Schizosaccharomyces pombe: one gene and its partners. The protein of the gene in region 1 binds, or shares a complex with, the protein of each later gene. Each region holds a gene or a part of one and is shown on either strand. Other genes may lie near its edges.

Region 1 (3,984 bases):
CCAGCTAATTTTTTAAAAGACTCACTATGTGCTGAAGGTATCACATACCATTGCAATGAAGAGCCACCTAAATGTACCTGAACTGCATGCAGCTCAGGAGATTCTACCCGCCAAGGAAGGGTAGTTTTCCATTTCCCAGCAAATAAGTGACCAACATTTGGCCAAGTGTTAATCAATGTATTCGATCTTAAATGTACCCTATCTTTTTGAGCAGCAGATATCGAAGGTATAAAATAGAAGGGGATCGATGGGCGATTAGTATATCCATACCACAGACTGTCATGGGTCAAAGAACGCCAATAATATGCAATAGCTTTAGCCACATTGTTTTCAAAGTCATTAGAACTTCCAGCGTTTGAAGGAAACCTGTCGTCGACATTCATATCGGTAGGCTTTTTAGGACCAGCCGAGCCATGGTCTATATCGCTTTGAATCTCGAAGTACTCTCCTTTCCGTCTCACCATTCGCTCTAACCATAAATCCATTTTTACATCGGAAGGTTTCATTGTATCTTCGTTCCAAGGATTTAAAACAGAACTAGGACGAACAACTTTAATTGCGCCGTATTTCTTGCCAAGCCTTTCAACGCGCCGAATAAAACTTTCCATATCTACAAATTCTGAAATTTTCTAAACAAATTTTGTTAACATCCACAAAATATTTAATATTTTTCGCGTAAACTTACTGGTTCCACAACAGGTATGCCATCTGACCCTTCGATATGATAATCGATTTCACACTCCAAAGAACTCACTGATGTGTCACTTTTGCCAGCATGTTTCTCTTTAACATTTTGCTGCATAGCAATCTATTTTTCAGCCTTTGGATTGAATATTTTGGTGTTTTTGAGACATCCACCAATTCGTGGGATTTGCTAAATTTTCCTTTAACAATCTTTTACCAAGGCAAATGACGCATCTGCACTCCAGTTCCATACCCAAATTAGCAAAGTATAACGAACTCGTTATACCAGCAACTAAAAACATAAACAAATTCTCAAAAATTGATCATTTCAAATTAATCGATTAGCATGCCAAACCAAATAACGTAGAATCAAAGTTATTAGATGATGCGGTCAATTAGCTATTTTAGGGACTAAGAAGGTCAGAGACTCAACATTAAAATTTTCATTTGTAAACAAAAAATGGAGCTACACTGTTGAGTTGACTCCACTTTAATAAAAGTATTCCTTATTTTAAAATAATGTGATAAATTTCAGGTCAAATTGCTCCACAGTAAGCTGGCTATTGAATTTATAGAATAACAAGACATGTTGGTTGTCACTAACTGACATGTCGTAGGTTAGCTTACTAGAAGCACTAACTACTATTTATTTTCCCAACAAAGAATATCCAACAAATCGGGCGTAAGCGAGTTTATATAACTTAGTATTCACCTTTTTTTTTTATGAAAATCTTCTCTTGTTGATAGGCATTTTCTATTATCGTTCTTTTTTGGCTCAGTCCAAATTGTGAACACTTTTCCATCGTACATCATTTATTTAGCTCAGAATTACTTCGGATCCAAAAAAATTTAAACATCTTGACTTGAAGTCCCAGTTTCACTTTTTTTTTAACTTATAATGGCTTCATTAGGTCGTAAATTTTTTGCTGTGGGTGTTTTGTCACGAGTCTTCCCTTCTGCTTTTAATGCACAAAAAGGGTTGTTAAAAAATGCATCTATGTTCTTAACCCCTGCTTTCAGACTTTCTCCTAGCCTTCTACCTTGGAACTTTTCAAGAGGTTTCAAAGTGAAAGCATCAGTAAAAAAGCGTTGTTCATCCTGCTATTTTGTGCGTCGCAAAGGTAGGTTGTATGTACTATGCAAAAAACATCCGAGACATAAAACCCGTCAAGGTTAATGACTATAACCGGTTTCGCTTCTTCTTTTTTTTTCTACCTAGGCTAATTCTTCATTACGCTCACTTCATATTACGACGATTTTTGGACTACCTACCAAATCCTTACTCCCTTCTCTCTCGTTAATGCGTAGTCATTAAATGTGATATTATTGTTGACATTATAGCTTCATGCTAAAGAATTCATAAAAACATACGTAATCTTAAATGATATGCTTTCGCATCTTAGTCGATTTTTTTCAAAGCCTCAGTAAGCCTTTCTATACTTTTCTCATTATCAGTAATAACACCTTGATTTTTCTGGATACGCGTCGTTAAGTAATGAGCACGATCCTTCACACCTGATTCAAGGTTCCCAAGGTCCTTTAGCATTTGTAGCTCCTGTTCATCATTCTTGATAGCATTGTTAGCCATGCCAATTAACGCGTTACATCTCACCAACTGCATATTAGCACTTAATACTGGATCATTTACAAGTTGCCGGAAAGCCGTAACATATACAGGTTTTCCAGCGTAGACTTTATCCGGTCTTGCATTCACTGTGGTAATAGTAATCAATTCTGATTCTTCCAAGGCACGAACGGCATCGTCGTGTCCTTTGAACAGTGGGTCAAGCATCAACATATGATAGGGTATATATTCATGTTGAGATAAATAAGTAATTAAGGTCCATGACTCTTCTGGAGTGAACGTTGGCTTCTCCTCACTGGTTAAAGAAGCAGGCCGTAAAAATGTTTGCAAAATATCAGAGGCATTTTGACTTACAATACCGCCAATTGCTTCAGAAACACTGGAAGAATTAACCCGCAACCTACGAGCTACATAATCAAGATCACGAAGTCGGCCACCAATCTTCGGTAATTGGACCCGCAATTCTTTCCTCAATTCTTCTGTTTGCATCTCTTCGGGTAAAGACTCTATGACATATCGCTGAGCAAGTACAGGGTCAGCATCTCCTAATAACAATGTTCTATTTTCCCAACCGTTGACATATTGCTCTAATGACTTGGTGCCTCCAACATCGGGTGTTAGCATTAGTACATGAGCAATTCCTTCCTTTACCAAATTACCAGCCCATTCAGCAACCACTCTCTGCATCGGGTTTGATAATTTACGAAGCTGGAAATTGTCGAGAATAACAACAGGTAAGCGATCTGCATGAACTTCTAAAAACTCAGATTCATCCAACACACTAGTATCGGCTTCTTTATGCTCTCGTAATGCTAGAGAACGCAATACCGTTTGTGTTGTGTTAAGAATTTGCCGCACTTGTCCTTCACTAGAAGAAACAATTCCCGTTTTTTGTCCTATGAGACCTTGTGCAGCCATATCGATAAGTGACGATATGTTGTTTAGGAAGCTAAAGAGGGGGAAATACCCCGTTTGGCTAGCAAGAGTACTTACGAACATTTCCGTATTAGTAGTGGAGAATAAGCGATCACAGTCGAAAAACAAAACATTTTTTCGTTCTTTAACAACTCGATCTACCAGATCACGCTTACCACTACCACGAGGACCTTGAACAACAATAAAAGAATGTAATGCTTCATCCAACCATTCTTTCAACTGTTCACAATCCTTTTCACGTGTTGTCCAAATCGGTGCCTTTATATTTGTACCATTTTCGTGAAAGGGACTCAAAACTATATCGCGAGTTTTCTTTTTGACCCACCCAACAACATTGATATTTCTCAACTTCTGACCATGTACAATGTTTGTCTCGACAAAGAACTTTCTTATCGGATCGAATAAAGAAGCCGTTAAAACTGTAATAGCCGCCGCAACCAAAGGAATAGTAAAACGAGGATGAGAGAATAACCAGTCTTTGAAGGCGACAAAGCGGTTCATATGTCTGTATCGCATGTGGAATTCTGTTTTCCCATAAACAAAACCATGCATACAGTTTAAAGCTGACGTAGCGGACCTTAGCGATGAAAAACTCAAAGTAGCAGAAGTAGGTGAATTAATGGTCACGGATCTTAGTTTTCCATATGTCCTAAAAATACTATACAATCTTTCCTGGGAAAGGGGCGGACCTTCGAAATTCACATCTACTGTACGAGATGGAAATATATATAAATCTTGAAGCCAAGGAATACCATGTACCATGTGTGGAATCGGGGTAG
Region 2 (5,410 bases), on another chromosome or scaffold:
ATCCAAGCAATTAAGCACTTTTCAATATTTACTCTTCCATTACCCCTTTGACGATGACATTCACCAAGCATTTTCCAAGCCGCAATGACATTATTATCAATACGAACAATCTCTTCAGCTAATTTTTGGGCTTCGTCGAAGTTTCCTTCTTGCGCAAACAAATGATTCGCTAAACTCAACATTTGTTGCACTTCCACCGAGGGAAGCATATCAGCTCGACTAACACGTCCTCGACCTTTATGACCTTTACGGACTTTTCTAAATCCAGCAACTGCCTTTAAATTTTCTTCCCATTCCTCGTTCGCAATGTCGTCCTCGGTTCTTGAGGCTGTTTTACTAAAGTTTGATTCATCGTCACTGCCTTCATAATCTGACTCTTCGTCTGACCAAAGGCCCTCAGCTTGAAGGGCAGAGGTATCTCCCAAAAATTTTGCATCAACTTCAGATACATTCCTAGCCTCATCGACAATTTCGCTTATATACCCGTTTAGATCTTGCATTTCAGCATCAAAGTTGTCAGTTGTATCATTTTGCGTTTCATTCATATTGGAATCCACATAGCTATTTCCACCATTTTGAATCATCCTTTAAGATGCTCAATCATGCTTTCAAATCGGTCTGTTCCTTTTGCCTACTTGAAGTTGGCTGTTTTCGCGTTGGCGTTGGTGAAGGCAAAGTTGAAGTAAGTCATTATAGAAGTACTCAATAAACAAAGAGGTCATGGGTACCACATATCTTGTTCTACAATTGACTAATTAATATGAAGTCAATAAATATTAGTCCTTTTTTCCTGACACCAGTTATTTTACTTGCAACATTTTTGAATTGCAAACTTGACAATTTTGATGTTGTCAAAATACCTAATATCTGTAAGAATTTGGAAGATCCTAGTCAATCAAATAGTGTTTTTCACTTTTTTTTTTGGAAAATGGCATCTCAAGGCTTTTCATGTTGATTGACCTTTGTCAGTGTACACAGAGTATAGTATCGAAACCTTTCATAAGCAAACTAATAAGCTATATTAAACAAACGCAGATCAACCCCATCTTCGAATTGTTTTGAAACGAAAATGAACGAGTTAACAAAACAAATTTCCATAGTTGAAACTTTTCGTTGAAACTGTATATTAAATAAGATTTTTTTGGTATGTGAACTTATTTAGTAATTAATTAAGCACACATCCAAAAAGGAATGTGAGAAGAGTTTTGTGAGAAAGCAATGTTTTCCTGATACCTTGAATCCCTTAAACTCTTCATGCTCAGCAGGCTTATTACAGGTGTCGTAAATTCTAGTTTAACTTTGCTCAACTCGAAGGAAAAGCAAATTCAATTTATCAAAATTTCCAATATATTATAACGTGGTTGAAATTCTCAGTTGACCTGCCATTACTTTCAAACGTATAGAATCGGGTTTACAATGTATAAAATATTTACTACACAGATGATCAAACAATAAAACAAAGTTCTTCATTATTATAGCTAATGTGTTCAATTTCCTCTATGTTGTATTCCCTAGATCAATGTTCATTTATTTACACAGTTAACGACACCTTGGATTGTGTAAAGATTTTAGCACTGAGCGTCGCAAATTATGATTGAACTCGTTAATTCGCAGTCCATCATATTGTGAGTTCTTACCATAGGTTTAGTTGGAAATCCCCATGTTGAGTTATAATCGATTTCGGGGGTATTTGATTCCTCAAATTCATGCGTTAAAGCTGTTCAGATATGCCTCTACCGCATCTACAAGCGGTGAAAAAATTGAATCTTCCGAGAGACCCTACGATGTAGGGATGCTTCTACGACCAAAAACGAAGTTCGAGGTATGTAATATTAACACGAGGGTTACTTTTTATTTATCAAGCCTTAATTCATTTTTTACTAATTCTTATCAAGATTAAAACTTACAAACCTATATCTCCTGGTCTTCGTCATTTAAAAAGACCAGTTAGTGATTACCTTTGGAAAGGGAAACCTTTTCGACCTTTGACCGTTGCAAAAAGAAAAAAAGGTGGAAGAAATGAAACAGGAAGAATTACTGTAAGGCATCAGGGTGGTGGACACAAACAACGTATTCGTCTTGTTGACTTTGAAAGAAAAGTACCGGGTGTTCATCGAGTGATTAGAATTGAGTATGACCCTGGTAGAAGTGGTCACATTGCCCTTGTTGAAAAATTGAATTCCGAAACAGCCAACAAAAGTTATATTTTGGCTTGTGACGGGCTTCGCGAAGGCGATACAGTTGAGAGCTTTCGATCGCTTTTGAAGACTGGTTCTAATGGCGAGCCAGTAGAAATGGACCCCGTCCTAGCTGCTGAAATTGAAGATGGAACTTTTGCAGCAAAAAATTTGAAGCCAGGAAATTGTTTTCCTCTCAGATTAATTCCTATAGGAACTGTCATTCATGCCATTGGTGTAAATCCAAATCAAAAGGCAAAGCTATGTCGTTCTGCTGGCAGTAGCGCTCGTATCATAGCTTTTGATGGTAAATATGCTATCGTTCGTCTACAAAGTGGTGAAGAGAGAAAGATTTTGGATACATCATTTGCTACCATTGGTGTTGTAAGCAATATTTATTGGCAACATCGCCAGCTTGGTAAAGCCGGTCGTTCACGTTGGCTTGGCATTCGTCCTACGGTTCGAGGTACAGCTATGAATCCATGTGACCATCCACATGGTGGTGGTGGTGGTAAAAGCATTGGTAATAAACCTTCTCAATCTCCTTGGGGTGTTTTGGCTAAAGGTGGATACAAAACAAGAAGAGGTAAAAATGTTAATAAATTACTCGTCCGCGATCGTCCTCGTGGAAAGGAAAAGCGGTAATCATTTTATTAATGATCTCTGTCTTCATGACTTTTACATTTCTATGTTTTACATTACCGTAATGCATTTCAATTTTCATGATCCCTTCTCCATTTTAATAGTCGATGCTATTACCTATCCATTTGTGGACCAGATGCATTTATGTATAGTTATTTTGTGTCGACCGTCATTTATCGACGAAAAATTTTAAGCATTTTTTAAGAGTTTAGCTCTTACAATTTAAATCTGTATTGGTAATTTTTGTTCATCACAACGTTGCTTAAAGCTAAGGACTATCCCATTCAAAATTGTCGTTTGCTTACATCTACCTTAAAAGGGTTATCGATATCATTCAGGTACCAAAAGAGTATTCTATTAAACGCAGAAAAGAACGGTTTTATTTTAATATGGCCAACTAAATAAAAAAATTTTATTTATAAAATTGTAGCTAATTTAGCATATTAATTTTTTCTTGCCTTCGTCCAGCGAAAAGCGACTTAAAAGCGGATAAACTGGGTATTTAATATTTCTCTACAACACAATTAACGCTTGGAAACCCTGGAACGACGGTCTCTCCTTGATTTGCGTGGCTTGCGTCGAACTTGGAATATTCTTTCCATCAGTGTAAGGTCAGACACTTTAGGACCTAGTCGTTCATCTAATGGCGAACCCCTTTCATCTTGATTTCTACTGTGCGAAAGTGTTAGTAATTTGAATATAAAATTGAGTAAAAGGAGATTCTCAAAAGTAGAGGAAATGATTTTTGAAAAGTATGAGTGCACCCGGACTAATTTGGTTTTCACAAGTTATACCTTTTAGATTTGCTCTTCTGAGCCTTTTCTTCTCGAGGATCACCGTGAAACAGATAATATCTCGAGTAAAGATGTGCGCTTTTAACCTTCTTGTCTCCGTAGCGGGCGTAACGTATTTTGAATTGACACGTCGGTACAGTTGGGTGTGGTTTCGTTTGATATTCCAATTCCTCTGAAAATTCTGTCGGAGACTCCATAATTAAATGAAATAAAGCATTTCGTGAAACATCATCATCCGCATAAACAACGTTGCCTATACGCGGTTATAGAGTTAGACTAACCCTTTGCCAGTTTTCGCTTCTTACATTCGTTATCATTAATCCATTCAATTGTACATTGAGATTCAGGAGCATAAGCTGAAATAAATCCTTTGACTTGTTCTTCTGAAAGATTATCGACGCCAGCTAGATGTAAAGCTGTTTTACGCAATGTAGTATCAGCCACCACTTCCGTTTCTAATGGAGTACTAGTGGCGTCGGGTATCAATGATTCTTCTTCAATCTGAGTCTCTGCAACGATATCCATTTAAATCTACTTCTCTACAACTGCTTCGCAGACATGCAGTTTCCAAAAGAGTGAATGTGCCGTCCAAAGAAAATTACGACGCGCTATAATTTGCTATACGAGAATAACGAGAGATGAAAGATCCCTATAGGCAATGTAATCGGTACAGTCTCCTATAATGAGTGAAGATCGGAAGTCAAATGTAATTTGTATTTAAAATTAAGAAGGAAAATGGAGATTAAATCGGCTTTTTGCATGTAAGGCTCGTTTGTGTAAGAATCTACAGTACGCTAAAGCACATTGAATTGCGTATTGTTATTTACAGAAATTTATGGGATATTACAGTAAAACCTAATAAGATTTACCTCTGGGACACCGTATGTTCGAGAATGAGACATGTAAACATAGCTTCCGCACATTTGCAATTTTCAGTACGAAACATTAATTCTTGCGCTTTTCAAAGATATATGAGCTTTGTTTAATTAGTTTTAGCTGATTGCTTAATCAAATAAAAGATTGTCTATCTTAACACCATTCGTTTTCTAATCCCGGCATTTGTCTGTGAAATTTTTAAAAATTAATTGGAATTACTCTACAAGCAACTTATTCAAAGAAGGAATAAATAGATAATAATCATTACTAGACAGAAGACTAATCGCATGGAACGTTTAGCTACTCGATCGAGCCATGATGATCCATATTCGAGGTCTTCCCTTCCAACTTCGAATGCCATTAATAGCAACCATGAGTCAAATGGTTCTACTTTTTCTTACGTACAGAGTTTACGCCGTGCAAAGGCGACTGTCTGGAGTGATATAGGCCGTGTGGCTCCTTTACACTCTAGCCCATCAATCAAAAGTTCATCACAAAATGGGAAGTCTTCCAGCAAAGGCTTAGGAGGCATGCGCTCAAGGGTATTTTCTAGCCAGCATCATGGTGTTTATCACACCCGTCCTGCTTCGCTTCATTCACGTACAATGGCTCCTCAGCACACCATTCTTACTCCACGATTATCTGCTACCGAAGGTAAGGATGACGATGAGGACGAATTGGTAATTTCGACATCGAATACTGCACCAACATATATCTCAATGATTGAGTCTTCACGTGCCAGCTCAACCCATAGTGGGACTGCACCTTCCATTATGGGAATGTCAATACATTCAAGAGCAGACTCCAGAGCCGAAACTACTCAATCAGACGGCTTTGAATCTCGTAGCGGATCACCTACTCATGATATTCAATCTTATCTTGTCAATCGACGAAGCAGCAGTTCTGAATCTTCAGACGAGG
Region 3 (4,321 bases), 2.0 Mb from region 1:
AAAAAGAAGAAACGCATGAAAATGGCTCCAATTTGACAAATGACTCGGTCAACAGCTACTTCAGTAACATTGGAGGGAGTGAGGTTGAAATGAAGCACTCGGCCTTTGAAAAAACTTTAGAGTCGTCTAGGGGCATATTGTTTTCGCTTTCGCAAGTCCAACAAGCCCTTCGTCAGCAACTTCTTTTTTGCAGCAACCCCGTTGTTTTAGATTCTATGCGTCATGTGTTACATACTGCCAATGTTCAAATTAAGCGGCTAATTCTGTGCTTTGAGGATACCCAACAAAGCAATGATGGAACTGCAAACATTAATTCCATAGTAAACGCTTCATTGTCTTGTATCAGCTCGTTTCGTAAACTAATTGAAGTGACAAAAAAATTTTTAAATGAGCTCACTAGTCGTGCGGATGTCCGATATGTTCGGCTTTTACTGCTAATTCTTTTCGATGCTGCAAAGGAGTTACAAAACGCCTTGGTACCATTGAGTCCATCACAACCCCATAGTGGTAATAACATATTCGCCGATCAGGTACGTCAATCTCCGACAAGTATGATCCGGACTGCATCTGGGCTTACGAACAGAATCGTTAGCGTTGAAAAACCAGCATCAGTGATGAATCCTGAAATTGATAAACAAATACAAGATCAGGTCGCTTTAGCAACAAACAGTGCAATGTCAGTTTTGACATTACTAATTGATGCTGTTCCTAAAAATAACCAGCCTGATCTAGTAAATGAAAACATCGCACCCAATTTGATTAGTAAGTTACGTGAATTGGGATCATTATCCGCCGCCGCCTGTGATGTTACTAGAAAACTTAAGCATCGCCTTCTAACTTTTCAAACGAATCCGGAAGAATTGGAATGGCAGCTTTTTTTGGACGACACTCAAGCATTTGTCAAGTCTATTATTGCAGTCGCAAATTTAGCGAAAGCGTTATCCAGTGAATATACATTCCAAAAAAGCGTATTAGCTGGTCTTTCAGCTGCAACAAGATCTACAAAAGATCTTACTATCTTACTTTCTTCCTCTGCTCGACATTACACTGAGTCATCTTTAGCCACTCCTGTTCCTTTGATGTCCCCAATAGCCCGCGTACCTGCAACACCGTTGTCAGCGGCTCTGGGTTCGGCTGCTCAATCTATTACATCTCCTCTAATCATGTCACCAGCTGCAATTCCGGCGTCAGCCTATAGTACTAATAAAATCGATTACTTTACTGACGCGGATGGGAACGTGGAAGGTTTACAGCGCTAAAGAATTTTTTAATGAAGATTGATGAGGAATAATTGGTAACTCGATAACTCAAAAGCCTACAAAGACTATAAATTTAATGATACAAAAAATGATGCACGATTGAATTTGATTAATTTATTTCTTATTCAAATAACAAAACCAAGGACAAATTGTAAAGGATGATGGTACAAGTAGTGATTAATCTGTTTCCACATGAAAATCATGTACAAAAATTAGACAGAGTGTGTAGTTTTGGGTAGGTACTCTTTGACAAGACAAAAATTTTTTCTAATTAATTGCTTTGCTTATTTTCAAGTTTCATTTCGCATCTTCTGATGATGTCTTCAATTTCATTGATTTCGCCTGAACTCAGTCTGTGGTACTCAATGCTGGAACTATCAGTTGGAACATCAAGTGCTTGAAATGCAAACTTTTTAGCTAAGGAATAGTTTCCCAGATAATATTGTTCTTCCGCTGCAAATTTTGATTGCTCTAAAATATAGGCTTCTTCACCGAGGACGACGCCATTTTTACTAAGATGCTGAATAATCTGTTAAAATCATAGACAATAAATTGGGAGTAAAAAATGAGTAACATACACCAAAACATTGAACTCTTGGAGTCCATCCATCAGTTTCAATGCTTACTTTCTGTTTTAATCGCTTATTCCGTTCAAGCTTTGACTCACTAACATCAAAATCCAAATCAATCGCCAGCAAATCCATTCTTACTAGAACATTAAATTCTTTTGATCGATCAGATATATTTAACAGATAATGGACTATATAATAAAGCCTGCTACAGCTGTATTTTACTAAAAAAGTGTGTAGTAAAAACCTTTTAACCCCACAATGCTTACGAGTAACAAAACTCCAAAAAAGCAAAATCTTAATTGGCTATCAGGTAAAAAGTGTTTGCTGAAGAGACAAGGTCCCTTAATTAGACGTAGAATAGAAAATTAAAAAATATATTTTAATTAAGTGAAATATTAACATTACAATACCCTTTTCAGATGGTTCGTGGAGCAAGAGATGCTATTTTAGTATGATGTTTTGTTCTGAGCTCGTTGGCAACGACTGACAAGATACGGGTTCCCAGAGGCTCACACTCCTTATTAACCAAGACGCAGGCATTATCATCAAAACGAACATAACGACCATCGGGTCTTCGAACTGGTGATTTCGTCCGAACAATGATAGCATGGTGGATATCACCGCGTTTAACTTTATTAGCAGCAGTAACTGATGAACCGCTTCGTGCCTTTTTTACCACTACTACCACTTCATCACCTGTTTTTTAAAAAAAGGTGATGTTAGTCGAATATAAACAAAAGATCACTTCGTGCTACTTACCAAGTGAAGCGAATTTTCCCGCGCGAACTACACGAATGCACTCAGCTAAGGTAGCACCCTTTTCCATCTTATTAGTACAAATAGTAATATTTTAAACTTACGGAATTGTCGATAACTTTGAGTATACCTTTAAGTCCGATCATTGCTAAAGATTCAAGTACTTGACCATACATTCACGTACTCGCTTCCACTATAAATTACACTATGCGTAATATTAGAATTTGGTATTTGACGTTAGTTGGCATATCGTAGTATGTAACACATCGCAAAATATATAAATAAAAACAACTGTTTGTATTAAAAAAAAAGCGATTTGATTAGATGCATTCAAATATGAAATTATTCCAAGCAAATTGTTTGTCATAACCTGTTATCTTGCTTTAACCTTCTGATGTTTTGCTTGTTACACATGTTTTAATCAAATTCTTCATCATGCATGGAGTTGTGGAATAGTCATTAAAGCAAAAATGTGATATTGACTAGCAATTGCTCTTATCATATTAAAATATCATAATGGATTGTATGCTACATATTTGATTTTGTATTACTCGTTAATTTTGTTGAAAGTGAGAGGAGGATTTGGACGTTAGTGAATCCATTTTATTTTTTGGAAGCAAATGAACTATCATTCTCATCTTTAGACGACGCAGTTTGAAAAAATGCTCTGCGATATGTTTACAGTAAACGCCTTACTAATTTGCGATCCGATTATGAATCTCATTAGCCGTACCCGTATCTGAGCTAGACACTACACCTTGTATCGAAACTTTTAAACTTCTTCAAAATTTCAACTATTACTTGTTAAACAGTAAAATAATATTGGATATCGCTCTTAAGAGTAATAAGGGTAAATAAATGGATAAATTAAGTAGACCGGAAATCAGGCAGCAAACTACTCAACAAATGTATGATGTTCCTGAAAACATCCTTGAAATTGATGTATGTTTACTTTATTATTTCGAAATATTTCTAATAGATGTTATTTTAGGTTATAAATCCACAAACTCACGGTATTGGAAGAAACATGTTTACTACTTATGAAATTGTTTGTCGGGTAGGTACCACTGAAATTCATCTTCTGATAGCAGATTATTAACTCATTTTTGTAGACCAATATGCCCTATTTTCGTCTACATAATTCTAGCGTTCGTCGACGTTACAGCGAATTCGAGAAATTTCACGATATGCTTGAAAGAGAGTCCGGTCGTGTTTCAATTCCACCACTTCCAGGAAAGATATTCACTCAAAGATTTAGAGATGATGTTATCGAAGAACGTAGACAAGGTTTGGAAAATTTTTTACGACTGTAAGTATTGAATGTTAATTTTGCCTTATTGCCCCAAAGAGCGTTTTAAATTGCACAAAAACTAATACATTATTATGTAGAGTTGCTGGACATCCTCTTATTCAAACCCATTCTCGTGTTTTATCTTCTTTTTTACAAAGCCCGGAATTCAAGCCTACGCCATAAACCCGCCGCTAACTTGTTTTTCTCCATTTTGCCCTCCAACTGTTAATTTTTGTCAATCTTTTTTTTTATTTTAAAAGAAAAATTTGGAAATCAATCTGTTACAAAGTTTAATTACCATTTAAAATACCTTAGGTTGTTATGAAGTAAGTTTTCTATTGAGGCTAAAATATAGCAAAAATCCGATTCATCTTTTCGCTGTTTTCGTTTTTTAATTTTAAAATTAACAAAAGTAGCTCCATTCGTCAAATTGAGCGTTTAAA
Region 4 (5,319 bases), on another chromosome or scaffold:
GATTCTTTGGAAGTCTTATTCGATACGTCAATCGTATTTATTGTGTTTCAGACTTTTCATTCGTAGAATCTGCTACCACAAAAGTTTGACGGTCCATCGGGCATTGACCTTGAGAACCGCTAGTAGCTAACCAGTTTTGAATACAGTGAGCATGAAATATATGCTTGCATTTCCCCCAAACTAGCGTAGTTAGCCTTTAATTAATTCTGTGAAAGCTGATGCCCATGATAAACTCTTTTTAACAAAAACAAAGTATGAATATTAGATTAAAGATTATTTGAACACAACCAACCCAATTGCGCAACAAATTTTCATGCTGATACCCCCTTAGGATGCAAAGTATACAAGTAAGCCTCCGCAGAGCATATTCAGGAAATAAATACAAACATATTCTTACCTATGGGGCAATTGTCTCCAGGACTTGTGCATTGAGGGCAGCATCCATCGAATGGAACACGACATATACCACAAACGTCGTCTTTTGGGGTATCCCACGTCCAGTTAGCAATTGCATGGTATCCTAGTGGTTAGAAAACAATTTTATTTCCAAAATATTCGCTTACTCAGTATTTTCACCTTCATAGTCTTTGTATATTGTATTTGAGATCTAATTAAATAAACATTAGTGTTTTTTGCTAGCTAATGTTTTACGTTCTACCACGGTATTAAGAAAACAATTCAGGCGAAAAACAAAATGTCGTAAGAAGAGAAGAGTTAGTAGATTTACAGTTGATATTTGGCTTTAGCTATACATCTTTTCGTTTTCTGAAAGTTTAAAATTTCTAACTAAAACTAATTTTCATTGGACTGTAACAAGCCGGCTACATTCGACATGCTAACAAAATTTTTATATTTATGATACTTTGCTTCTTTAGCTTATAACATATTGTTGAGCTCAAGTTTTATACTTTTTTACATGAATAATTTCAAATATTATTCAAAATAATCAAAGCGCAGAATTATGAAGAGGCAAGCCTACATACAGCTCAAATTTATAAGAAAAAAGTAGAGGTTTTGATTCATAGTGCCTCACAAATTCATCTGGGAAAATTAATGGCAATGACATGTGACTTGTCGATTCAAAGAATGAGAAGGGGGTAAAAGGCTCAAAGGAGGTGATTCATTGCCGTTTCATGGAATCGATAATACGTGTTTTGACAAACAGGCTAAAGCCGAAATATACATCCAAATCTCTAAATCTGTTCCAGAAAACCAACCAACGCCTCTTATAATGCAGTTCTAAATGCAATAGCCTGTAGAAAAAGACAAGTAGATAGGGAAACATAGAGTGTAAACGAACTATAAATCATACAGCGCTTCTTGAATAAAATCATGAAAGATTCGCAAAAAAAAAGAAATTTACTTGCAGAAGTTGCAATGATTGTGTCAAGGTTTATGTTGATTTTGTTCAATGTATTTTCGCACCAGTGATTCAACAGGTGGAAGACGAAAGCGAGGTTGACGCAAGTAACTTAAGTATGCTCTTCTAGGTCTTTTAGATAGACCATTTTCTTTGAGGACAACAATACGTTTAATTTGTGGAGAGTAAATTGGTAACAAATATTCGACTCCAACACCCATTACCACGTTTCGTAACAGGATTGAACTTTTTGGTCCACGATGCCGAATTCGCAGTAGATAACCAGCAAATCTGTTGACTGAATCTTTTGATGGGTATTTTGAGTAGCTTTCAACCAGTAAAACCGCGCCTGGTCTTACTCGATTTGGCTGCGAGCGATGAAACATTTTGAATCGCTCAGATTGCTCATCCAATACTGAACGGCACTTTTTTTCGAATAATGATAACACATCTTTGTGCTTTGGACCTGGTACTGGCTTTGGAAAGTTATAAGGCCGTTTTAACGATCCAATACCTCTCTTTTGTAGCCATTGAAAGCCCAATCCTAAATTGAAAAAGTGTTTGGCATTAAACATGTCTTCCAAAAGTCATTAAATACCGTTCGTTAGTAAGAATGACAAAACACTATATTCTACAGAGTATCTTTTTAAGTAAGTACGATGGTATTCAAAATGAATTAGCAAATTCTGCACAACGTATTTCGTTATATGTTATTTATTGTCAACCTTCCATTACGCTATATTAGACTATGTAAGTTAATACAGTTGATTATATATTTTTATATGATTTATCCATCAAGGATTGTGTTTCTGACCTTGAATGTTCAAGGCAATAGAAAGATTCCTGTTGAACCCGAATGAATATACGTGTTCCAATTCAGTTACATGGCTTCTCATTGTAGTTATAATACTATCAATAACTCGCTGGTATTCAGAAAACTTCAATAGCAAGATTTGCTTTTTTCTTTCCACCTTAATGTTCCATTTTCGTAAAAGATATTATTTTATATGCAATCAATTATATACTCTAATATGAATATGCGTTAATGTAATCTCTGTATTCCTGATTTCGAACTCTCCTTAATTAACGTTAATTTTCTATACTATTTTCTCCACAAGCAAATCTTGCGAAACGAACGATACGATAATGATTTAGAAAGTTGATTTACTCAAAGCAACTTTAGTTTCTGTATAACATTTGATACTCTTTGATCAGTTCTTTTTTTATTTTTTTTGATTTTTAGAATAACACTTTTCAGGAGCTACTGTTCGAAGATAATCCTCTCTTTTACTTTGACTGATATATCATTTCTCTAAATTCAACAGATTATCACGTAAGATAGAAGTCATACATTCCTTTCTATTTCCTTCTCAGGTCCTATAAAAAAGTTACGACACACAAAACATTATAGAGATATCCATATTCAAGACAAAAATATATCAACATGAAAGTGTAAGTTGAAACCAGTCTTTTTTCTTTTTTTCTGTTTTGTCCATCTCTAACTAGCGTCTTTGGCAGGACCTGCTCTGCTCCTGGTAAAGTACTTATAGCTGGTGGATACATTGTTTTAGATCCTCAATACAGCGGGCTTGTTATTGGTTTAACTGCCAAAGGGTACGCTTCCACAACGACTTTGGACGATAAATGTGGAACGGTTCGTGTGAAAAGCCCTCAATTCATTAACGCTGAATGGCTTTATAATATTGATTGGACTGTATCTCCTATTCGAGTTCATCAGATATATGAAAACTGTGAATTGGAAAAAAATCCAAACCCCTTCGTTCAACTGGCACTTTTTTATGTAATTAACTACTTTTTTTCCACGGGGCGACAACCTTTATGCTGGCAAGATCTTCAAGTTACATTGCAGGTAGATAATGCCTATTATCACCAACCACAGTTAAAGCCTGATCAAACAAGCTATCCAAAATTCAATTTCTTAAACTGTACTTTAGGTCAAGTACATAAGACTGGTTTAGGAAGCTCGGCAGCTATGATTACAAGTCTTATAGGTTCATTATTTTTAAGTCTTAGACGACTAACAGATGACACTGGTGACAAATCTCTCAAAATTGATGATTCAACCAAAGTCATAGTTCACAATCTGGCACAAATTGCCCACTGTTCTGCACAAGGAAAAGTAGGAAGTGGGTTTGATGTTGGCGCTGCCACTTGGGGAAGTTGTATTTATAGAAGGTTTGATCCTAAATTAATTGAACAACTGCTGGTCCCATACGACGAACAAATAAAGAACATAAATTTTTCCACCGAACTGAGAAAAATAGTTTCTAAAAAATGGTCAGATGTTGTTCCATTTCAATTGCCTGCTACTTATTGTTTGCTAATGGGGGACGTAGCTGGTGGCAGTAGCACACCGGGTATGGTAAAAAAAGTACAGCAATGGCAAAAGGAAAATCCAGAGGAATCTAAGAATTGCTTTGATGATTTGTATTCAAGAGTGCTTTCCATCAAAAACTGTTTTCTTTCTTCTGAAAGCTTAGACTCTGAACTTCAAAGTCAATTTCGATCCATTCGTCGTATTCTTCAAAGAATTACCGTTGAAGCAAAGGTTGACATAGAACCTTTAAAGCAAACAAATATTTTAGACAACATAGAGCAGTTGCCTGGTGTCATTGGTGTGGGAGTTCCTGGAGCCGGCGGATTTGATGCACAATTTTGTTTGGCCATTAACCATACGGAGATAATCGAAAATGTTATCAAAACATGGAAAGATGATGGGGTAGTACCCATGGACGTTTCTCCTGCTTTCGATGGGCTAGCCGTAGAATAAACAAGACTAACTATAGAGATTGCTGACACAGTATTGGCGCTATTTTTCTAGTTCTAGATCTATGATTTCTATTCTATTTTCGCTTTCAAAATCTCGTTCGTCAGTTTCTAAAGAAGTAGTGAAAACCGTAGACAGGAACTCTCTCCATCTCAATACTCTTTTGCATTTTGTACACATTCCTTCGATTGGAAGAACCTGGCATTCTTCTGTCAGAAAACTGCTTGCAAGGCAAGTTAAATGATTTATTGAATTGCAATCCGTAAAAGGGCAATTAGCCCGCAATTCATCAGATTCGATACATTCGTAGCATAGGTTACACTTAACAGGCTCTGATATTGTCTTTCTTAAACATAATTTATGATCGTAAGTTTTTTGGATTACTTTTTCGTGAAACCCATTTAACCATTCTTCGTCGAAGTATACATTGATATTACCATAAGTTTTACCAAGTTGATTCCATTTACTGAAAGCAGTTTTATTTAGAAATGTGATGTTTAATGGCCATCTTCTCCACGTATCACTGTCAACCAAATGCTTTAAACCTTTAAGACAATACATAATGGTTTTTTGTTTTTTTGAACGGAAATCACAATCTTTAGTGTACCTCGAGATTCCCAGATTTTGCCAATTCCATTCGAACTTTAAAGCAGACACTTTGTTAGGAAAGCCGTAAACTAAACATGAAATCGACCAAGGGCGCCCGTGTTTAGTTTTTGATGCACCACCAACTATTTCCCCATTATGTTGCCGCAATCGCTAAAACAAATTAGTTTCCTATAATAGCACAAAATACCTACTCTAGGTGGATCTGGTGTGGAACCGATATAAACAGCTCCACTTGATTGTGTCCTATTCGACTTTAGTAAATAACAGCAGTAGAAATTGCACAAATCCATGTTTCATAATTCTTTTCGATAGCACTTTTCTCTTAACCCGTGGTAATCGAACAATTAACTAGTGGTAATTTTATAAGCTTGTTAAGTTAATTAATTGAAAGTATAATCTAAAAGTATTTTTTCTTTCAGCTTTGTCTTCGAATAATAGTAAGAAAACAATGTAAAACAAAAGGTCACCGTTACTGTCTTTAGGGTTATCCACGTAAATCTGTAAGATTAAATTGTTATTTGACGTGCTTCATTACTTTCTCTTTCACTAAGGATTATTTATA

What was found.
Region 2: rtc6 (region 1) and rml2 share a complex: the UniProt entries of both Schizosaccharomyces pombe proteins name them as parts of the mitochondrial large ribosomal subunit.
Region 3: rtc6 (region 1) and mrpl38 share a complex: the UniProt entries of both Schizosaccharomyces pombe proteins name them as parts of the mitochondrial large ribosomal subunit.
Region 4: rtc6 (region 1) and img1 share a complex: the UniProt entries of both Schizosaccharomyces pombe proteins name them as parts of the mitochondrial large ribosomal subunit.

Annotation. Positions count from the first base shown.
Region 1 is NC_003423.3:1,518,089-1,522,072, reverse strand, and holds rtc6 (mitochondrial 54S ribosomal protein bL36m), read left to right. Parts: upstream 1-1,582; coding exon 1,583-1,861; 3' UTR 1,862-2,043; downstream 2,044-3,984. Other genes in the region: Lid2 complex histone demethylase H3-K36 subunit Jmj3, read right to left, coding at 1-629, 686-802; RNA-binding protein Yme2, read right to left, coding at 2,084-3,984. UniProt on the Schizosaccharomyces pombe protein: Component of the mitochondrial ribosome (mitoribosome), a dedicated translation machinery responsible for the synthesis of mitochondrial genome-encoded proteins, including at least some of the essential transmembrane subunits of the mitochondrial respiratory chain.
Region 2 is NC_003421.2:694,262-699,671, forward strand, and holds rml2 (mitochondrial 54S ribosomal protein uL2m), read left to right. Parts: upstream 1-1,650; 5' UTR 1,651-1,660; coding exon 1,661-1,822; exon of another isoform or gene 1,823-1,846; intron 1,847-1,895; coding exon 1,896-2,822; 3' UTR 2,823-3,221; downstream 3,222-5,410. Other genes in the region: transcription factor TFIIIC subunit Sfc4, read right to left, coding at 1-584; RNA cap binding protein cbc3, read right to left, coding at 3,344-3,491, 3,614-3,866, 3,919-4,138; protein mug123, read left to right, coding at 4,777-5,410. UniProt on the Schizosaccharomyces pombe protein: Component of the mitochondrial ribosome (mitoribosome), a dedicated translation machinery responsible for the synthesis of mitochondrial genome-encoded proteins, including at least some of the essential transmembrane subunits of the mitochondrial respiratory chain.
Region 3 is NC_003423.3:3,549,760-3,554,080, reverse strand, and holds mrpl38 (putative mitochondrial ribosomal protein subunit L38), read right to left. Parts: upstream 2,738-4,321; 5' UTR 2,734-2,737; coding exon 2,692-2,733; intron 2,649-2,691; coding exon 2,591-2,648; intron 2,528-2,590; coding exon 2,247-2,527; 3' UTR 2,190-2,246; downstream 1-2,189. Other genes in the region: leucine-rich repeat protein Sog2, read left to right, coding at 1-1,259; SPOM_SPBC887.08 (uncharacterized protein), read right to left, coding at 1,531-1,779, 1,838-1,963; sorting nexin Snx3, read left to right, coding at 3,446-3,529, 3,579-3,644, 3,700-3,896, 3,977-4,061; RNA-binding protein Cwf29, read left to right, coding at 4,200-4,204, 4,295-4,321. UniProt on the Schizosaccharomyces pombe protein: Component of the mitochondrial ribosome (mitoribosome), a dedicated translation machinery responsible for the synthesis of mitochondrial genome-encoded proteins, including at least some of the essential transmembrane subunits of the mitochondrial respiratory chain.
Region 4 is NC_003424.3:1,638,371-1,643,689, reverse strand, and holds img1 (mitochondrial 54S ribosomal protein bL19m), read right to left. Parts: upstream 1,996-5,319; 5' UTR 1,936-1,995; coding exon 1,387-1,935; 3' UTR 758-1,386; downstream 1-757. Other genes in the region: anaphase-promoting complex ubiquitin -protein ligase E3 subunit Apc11, read right to left, coding at 38-180, 398-520, 564-582; erg8 (phosphomevalonate kinase), read left to right, coding at 2,805-2,812, 2,879-4,151; structure-specific endonuclease catalytic subunit Slx1, read right to left, coding at 4,191-4,907, 4,949-5,047. UniProt on the Schizosaccharomyces pombe protein: Component of the mitochondrial ribosome (mitoribosome), a dedicated translation machinery responsible for the synthesis of mitochondrial genome-encoded proteins, including at least some of the essential transmembrane subunits of the mitochondrial respiratory chain.